Yarrowia lipolytica: one gene and its partners. The protein of the gene in region 1 binds, or shares a complex with, the protein of each later gene. Links are inferred from orthologs where the notes say so. Each region holds a gene or a part of one and is shown in the gene's direction. Other genes may lie near its edges.

The links.
Region 2: YALI1_F30106g (region 1) and YALI1_B29507g share a complex: the UniProt entries of both Saccharomyces cerevisiae proteins name them as parts of the mitochondrial small ribosomal subunit. The link is inferred for Yarrowia lipolytica from reciprocal best matches to the Saccharomyces cerevisiae genes RSM10 and RSM19.
Region 3: YALI1_F30106g (region 1) and YALI1_F13366g share a complex: the UniProt entries of both Saccharomyces cerevisiae proteins name them as parts of the mitochondrial small ribosomal subunit. The link is inferred for Yarrowia lipolytica from reciprocal best matches to the Saccharomyces cerevisiae genes RSM10 and MRP10.

Annotation. Positions count from the first base shown.
Region 1 is NC_090775.1:3,009,241-3,011,839, reverse strand, and holds YALI1_F30106g (mitochondrial 37S ribosomal protein uS10m), read left to right. Parts: upstream 1-1,220; coding exon 1,221-2,009; downstream 2,010-2,599. Other genes in the region: YALI1_F30116g (uncharacterized protein), read right to left, coding at 1-195. UniProt on the Saccharomyces cerevisiae protein: Component of the mitochondrial ribosome (mitoribosome), a dedicated translation machinery responsible for the synthesis of mitochondrial genome-encoded proteins, including at least some of the essential transmembrane subunits of the mitochondrial respiratory chain.
Region 2 is NC_090771.1:2,949,300-2,951,822, forward strand, and holds YALI1_B29507g (mitochondrial 37S ribosomal protein uS19m), read left to right. Parts: upstream 1-1,401; coding exon 1,402-1,441; intron 1,442-1,761; coding exon 1,762-1,991; downstream 1,992-2,523. Other genes in the region: YALI1_B29505g (uncharacterized protein), read right to left, coding at 1-1,254; YALI1_B29528g (uncharacterized protein), read right to left, coding at 2,363-2,523. UniProt on the Saccharomyces cerevisiae protein: Component of the mitochondrial ribosome (mitoribosome), a dedicated translation machinery responsible for the synthesis of mitochondrial genome-encoded proteins, including at least some of the essential transmembrane subunits of the mitochondrial respiratory chain.
Region 3 is NC_090775.1:1,335,980-1,337,851, reverse strand, and holds YALI1_F13366g (mitochondrial 37S ribosomal protein mS37), read left to right. Parts: upstream 1-988; coding exon 989-1,168; intron 1,169-1,246; coding exon 1,247-1,336; downstream 1,337-1,872. Other genes in the region: YALI1_F13373g (ubiquitin-40S ribosomal protein S31 fusion protein), read right to left, coding at 46-498. UniProt on the Saccharomyces cerevisiae protein: Component of the mitochondrial ribosome (mitoribosome), a dedicated translation machinery responsible for the synthesis of mitochondrial genome-encoded proteins, including at least some of the essential transmembrane subunits of the mitochondrial respiratory chain.

The DNA of each region.
Region 1 (2,599 bases):
GAACTGCCCCGAGTGTCTGAAGGGCGAGGAGGTGGCCTTTCGGTCAGGCACTGCAACAAATGAAGCCATTTTGGAGTCTGTGCGCAAGCCCGAATTGGCGTGCGTAGGCCCAGAACCCTCGCCGAGGTTCACCGGAGGCAGCAGACCCCCGGGCATTTTGTATTTCGAGTGCGCCTGGCGTCGGTACTCGGACATGTTGGGGGTGTGGATAGGTGTGGATCACTATCAGCGTGTTTATGCACTGCGATGTGGAGTTAGACTTTGGGCGATGGCATGTCGGGCAGGCGCAGTGGAGGCTATGGTGAGAGGTGGTTAAAAGTGACAGGGGCTAGTCATACAAAGTGGAAAAACGTCGGATTATGACCTTTACAATGTATAATTTGCACACCATGCCATTTTTGGTAGCATATATCAACACAGACCTCAACTCTGATTTATTGTACTGTATATATTACCATAAAAGTTCAAGCAAGTGTACTACGAGTAGGAGGGTGAACCAAAGTTTTGGATCATTTGAAAGCTGACCAACCAGTGAGACTTCTCCGTTACCGGACAGTAGCTGAAGTAATGAAGATGTTAGCTTGTGTATAACGTGTGAGAAATAATTTGAGAGCATACCTACCCAATTAAACAATCAAGACCGCCCGTATTTCCTCCTCCTCACACTTGTCTTCTAAACACGTGTTTGGCTTCAGGGTATACGCCACTCACATCTATGCCCACATCGCCACTCGACACATCTTCTGTTAGTTAGGATTGTGTTGCATCCATCGGCGTTGGAATATAATGCAAACCTTTGCCCTGCCATCTACTGTAGCAGTTTGTGTTAATATAGCCGCCGTGGGCAATAAATTTATGAATCAGCCAGTCGCCCGGTCCTTTAACTAATCATCAACTAGCATATCTTATTACTTAGCGCCATCAAGTTTCGTTGACGACATTCCACATCTCGGACACTGACTCTTCCAAAACCCAACGAATGAAAAACCAGATCCACGGATTAAACACCACAATATCACATGTACTACCAATACCAATAGACAGACAATTACTGCACAATAAATAGAACACCCTTTGCCTATTGTACCGCCTCCCGCCTACTCTCTCTCCCATCCCATCCCCCATTACATAATTGTCCCAACCAGACCTAACCCTGAAAAACTTAACCGACACTCAGGTGTGGTGAAATTTCGCATCAAACCACACCGACACAGCACACGATGATTCCTCTTCGGACCCTGGCCCCACGAACACTGCCGCGAACGGCGCTTGTGCGATTCAACTCCACTTTCCGACAAAATGAGCTAGGCAAGATGTCCCAGGCCTCAGTGGAGTCCCAGTTGACCCCCAAGGCCCAGGCCCTTCGACAGCAGCTGTCTGATGATCTGCTGGTCCCCAAGCAGGGCACCTACACCCAGACCGAGCACAAGATCTACGAGGCCAACTCTGAGAGACCTCTGCCAATTTCTGCTCTCGCCAACTACTACGGACCTCTCAAGGTCAAGATTCCCGAGGGCACCCCTAAGGTCAAGTGTGCCGAGCTCCTCTTCAACGCATACTTTCACGAGGACCTAGAGGTCTTCACCGAGTTTGCCCAGCGAGCGGCCTACTACCTGCGAATCCCCGTTGAGGGACCTGTGCCCCAAAAGACCCGATTCAAGCGATGGACTGTGAACCGAGCAGTTTTCGTGCATGCAAAGTCCAAGGAAAACTTCGAGCGACGAACCCACGGCCGAAAGCTCATTCTCAACAACGCATCCCAGGATACCATTCAGGTGTTGGTGCAGTTCCTCTCGCAAAACAAGCTGGCTGGTGTCGGTATGAAGGCCAAGCTGTTCACCCACGAAGGTCTGCCCGAGTCTCTGGACCAGCTGGACGCCATGGAGGTGGATGAGGTCTCCAACGAGGCCGTAGAGGCCCGAGTGCAGGAGATGCTCAAGGAGTTTGATGCCGAGGAGGTGGCTCAGGAAAAGGAGGCTGACCAGACCCAACAGCTCCAGAAGGAGTAATGTAAATAGTGTATATATGAATAGTACGGTTGAATGACAGACATGTAGATGGAATGAGTAGCTCACGCGTAGTTTATGGCTTCAAGTATCATCTGAGAGGCCGCTTCAATAGTGCACGAGATAGCTTTACGGAGTAACATACTAAGTGAACCAGTTGTGTTTGGATTCTTAAAACAGCTGTCATAAGCCACATGATGTCAAAGTGACAATAAAAACAACCTGAAAGCATCAGACAGCCTTATTGTTACCAATTCCAAAAAAAACAAAACTTCGTTTCAACCCAGAGAAACAAAAAATGATTTGACGACCTCGGAGAGGGTCGAACTCTCGATCTTACGATGGCGGCCATTCAGGTGACTAACAGTCGTACGCCTTAACCAACTTGGCCACGAAGTCAAATCTTAAATTTGTTAGAACCCAGGCACTGTGACTAAGCAGACTGATGACTCAGCCGGGGTGGCCATACCGAAGGTATGGTCACTGCCGTCACTCTCAAGAAAGGTGTATTAGAATACATGGAATACAGGGGTTTATATGTTATCCAGGGTTGCGGCGCAACCCTTTGTCCGTGATAGCAGGCTTGGCATATC
Region 2 (2,523 bases), on another chromosome or scaffold:
GTCAGAACTACCAATGACAAAAACGCCAGGATTGTGGATGTCCATGGATGCAATGTGTTCGGGGTTGGCTGTGAGGGTGGCTGAGAAAATAAGTGTTTGCATGTTTCGAACGTAGTGCTCAGTGAGGTTGGTCTTACCAGCCTGGGCCCGCTGCTGGTTGTTCTGCAACACAGAGGCCCAGTCGTAGTAGTCCTGGCCAAGCAGACGATCGGCCTCGTCAACCACCAGAAATTCGATGTAAGAGAAGAGCTCGGGGTTCTCCTTCACTTGCTCCACAAGTCGACCAGGGGCTGCCACAACGATATCGGCAGTCTCCAGAACAGCCCGTTCACGTTTGGTGCTTCGGTCGTTTCGAAGAGCCACAACAGACAAAGAAGATCCCTTGGATAGGTTTTCAAGCACGTCTCGGACTTGCATGACCAGGGGCTTTGTAGGGAGTACAACCACAGCTCTGATTCGAGGAACAATACGGTCTCGGAGCTTCTCGATAATGGGGATTCCGTAAGTGGCGGTCTTACCGGAACCGGTGGATGCAGAAACAAGAAGATCGGGCTTTCGATCGGGGGCAAGGAGCTTTTGCTGGGCCAGAAGCCAAGGAATGACTGCCTTCTGCACAGAAAATGCCTTTGTGTATCCTAAAGTGTCCAGGTTCTTCATCATATTTTTGCTCAGATCAAACTCATCAAATGATCCAACATCGTCAATTTCCACATAAGTAGCATTTCGCAAAATGGGCTGTGTCTGAAGTTGGGTCTTTCGAGAGATGGTTGCACTCTCATCGGGTTTATCCTCATAGATTTCAGTCTGGGGAAGCTCCTCGAAGCCCTTAGCTCGAATGGTTCCCTTAGCAAGCTTGATTTTGTTGTTGCCAGAAATCTTGATAGGCGCCAGATCATCTTCACTATCAGAGTCCTCCTCGCCCATATGCTGTTCTCGCTTTCGCTTTCGCTCTAGAGCCTTTTCCTCCGCTCGCTTGGCCAGGTTGGCGGCTTCCTGCTTCTTCTTTCGCTTCTGGTCGGCTGTAAGGTTCTCATCTTCGCTCTCCTCCTCGTCCTTGACCTCCACGGGCTTCTTGGCCTCCTCAGCCTCATCCATGGAGTCGTCCCCAGACTCCTCCTCATATTCCACCTCAGAGTGCTCGTCAGCATTGGTTTCAGGCTTGCTTTCCTCCTCCTCGTGTTTGACCTTCTTGAATGGTACAGGCGACGCCTGTCCGCCCTGGGTAGGGTCAAATCGACGAACTCCAGTGAACATGGTGATGTGTGTTTCGTGGTGTGCTGCAGGCTCGAAATAAATTTATTTGTATGTAGGCCTAAGATTTTCATGCACGAGTATCAAATAGAGTTTAGGTGTAGTAAGCGTTTTTACATCACCCTTTTTGCACTTCAGACCACTCCGAAAATGCTGCCAACACGGGTTCTTTGTCGTTCCGCCTGGAAATGTGAGTATTTCATTTGGTGAACCGAGTGCAGGGAAGAAGATTTTTGCCACTCGTTTTCACCATACTCGCGTGATTCGCCTGTACTTCGTTGCAATACGAGTGACACCACAGGCACAAAGGTATTGGCGATTGTCAAACCGGAAATTGATTGGTTGGACCGGGTGATAACACGGGCCAGTCAGGTTGTTGCCTCTCGATTCGTCGTCAGAACACCTCTCAGCTCTCGCGACTACGCACAGAATCTGCTAGTTGTTCTCCATTGACCAGATCAACACATCGCCAAATCAAGACATGACACACATCCTCCAAAGCTAACACAGGCCCTCACATTGTCCCTATCGACCTGAAGCCATGGGCTACAAAGAAGCAGCCTATCCAGACCGATAAGCGAGCCGCAACCATCATCCCCCAGTTTGTTGGTGTGACCTTCCACGTCCACAACGGTAAGGAGTACGTTCCTGTCAACGTCACCCAGGATATGGTCGGAACCAAGCTTGGCGAGTACGCTTACACTCGAAAGCCCTTCCGATACCGACAGACCAAGAACTAATTTGTATATAGCCAAGATTCATGCCTCAGAAGCTGTACATACTGTACTGTAGCTTTACAGTGCCTGAAGAGCCACCTGACTTCACCTACAAGTAGCTATTCACATGGTGATACGCTAAAGTCTTTGTATCTATCCATAGATACAGCGACTTTTTCCACCCAATACGTAAGATGGGAATTTTGAGCCAGGATAATAAATCTCGCATCTTGGCTCTAAGAGTAATTGAACTTTTAGTTAGATTTTTAGTTGATACCGTAAAACATTAGTGGAACTTATCGGTGGGGGTAGTATGTACACTACACATCCACTGAATACTCGTGCTACATTCTTCAAGTCACATTGCCAAAGTTACTGTTTATAAATATACATGCCTACATTCGATTTCCACGGGAGTCGACATTTTTGAGTCGGTATTCTCGTAGCTCGCCGGTTCGGTCCACCTGCGAGCCATTGCCCCATCCTCTTAGACGGATAACCATGCAAGTGGCATTGTCCGAGCCACCCAAAGCCGCTGCGTACTCAACCACCTCCT
Region 3 (1,872 bases), about 1.7 Mb from region 1:
TGATTTTTGTTCAAGAGATAAATATACTAAACTAAATCAATACATTTAGGCCTTGAGGGTGAGGTGGCATCGGCCGCAGTACTGTCGGTCCTTCATGTCAGCCATGAAGACACCGGCACCGCAGGACTCAGACTCACACTCTCGTCGAAGTCGCTCAACCTTTCCGTCATCGTCAACCTTGTAGAGGTTGAGGACAGCAAGCTTGTTCTTCTTTCGCTTGTGCTTGATCTTCTTGGGGGTGGTGTAGACCTTCTTCTTTCGCTTCTTACCACCACCTCGAAGTCGCAGGACGAGATGGAGAGTGGACTCCTTCTGGATGTTGTAGTCAGAAAGGGTTCGGCCGTCCTCGAGCTGCTTACCGGCGAAGATAAGTCGCTGCTGGTCCGGGGGAATTCCCTCCTTGTCCTGGATCTTGGACTTGACGTTGTCGATGGTGTCGGAAGACTCCACCTCGAGGGTGATAGTCTTACCGGTAAGGGTCTTGACAAAAATCTGCATTTCGGTGTCGTCTGCAAAGAAAACTGTGCTGTTGTTAGTGGTTGCTCCTTGAGGTCCTGCTCTTCAGCTTTTGCATCGCTCCACTGCGTTCGCTGCGTTCGCCACCGTGTGGTGTGTCGTTATTACTCACCGTCTTTCTAGCCGAAGTGTCTGAAGAAGAAGAAAAGGAAGAGCTGCCGTGTAAATTTATTTCCATGCAAGTTGAGTGGGACTTCTCAAATAGGAAGTTACCCGGACCGCTATAATAAAACCTTATTTGATTTATGGTCACGTGGCGAAATGAGGTGGGGGGGGGGGAAACCGAAGAAAAAAAAACGTCGGTAATCTAGCTATAGCCGTAACTGACAATGCTCCATAGACCCCGTTTATCCGCCGTATCGTATATTTCCAGATTCCTTCCATTTTTTGCTGACTAATAACCCTAACCACCAGCATCTCCAACATGCAGTAAAATTTCACTGCAACATCACCATACACAAAGTCTCGAAAAATGACCGCCCAGAAGTTGCCCAAGCTCAAGTATCTGCGTGTCAAGAACCTGCAGACCGCCGAGGCCCCCCAGGCCGTGCAGCTTCTGTCTCGACTTTTGGCGTGCTGGTCATCCAACGGTGTCAACTCCGAGGCCTGCAAGGAGATTGAACAGGAGTTCAAGATGGCTGCCTGCAAGAGTGTGAGTATGAGAGGAGAAGGGTTGGAGATGATTGAGGCGACAGGGTCGGTTTAATTTCGTTTTGCAATTCTAACTCAGGTTAAACCCGTCAAGCAGCAGGACAGTATCAACTTCCACGCCAAGCGACTTTACCCCAAGATGGTTCCCCAGGGAAAGAACCGACGATAAGCGATGTCATCCATCGCCAGCATGTACATATTTATGAATTCTCTGTGATTTACGATACTGGGAGCGAGACGGAATTGGTAATGGTTGAAGATCGGAGGTGGGATGTGTAGGGAGAGGTGATGGAGGTGTAGGGTTTCCAATGGTCTGTTTGATATGTTGACGCCTCTGGGTATTGTAGTTCTGCAATTACTTGAGTTAACCAGAGTAACCAGAAGTTGTAGAAGAACTCTCTCGATTAGTACAATGTATCATAAAGGTCCATCTCATATCTCCAGACTGTAGACACTTTGCGACCACCCATTATGGCGATACTGTTGAGACGGTGCATGTAATTCGATTCGCTGTAGACTGTTGACGCTTCTTCGTATGCTTCTGTAGACCACTCTAGACCACTCTAATGCGCCGAAGTACCATCTGCTCAGTTCCAGCACGAGGTTCCAGTGTCCAGGTCCCTGTGATAAGTCAAAGGTTTTCAGTTGCACTACGATGCTGCAGGGCTACCAATGTATAGGAACTATAGAACCAGTCGATCCCTT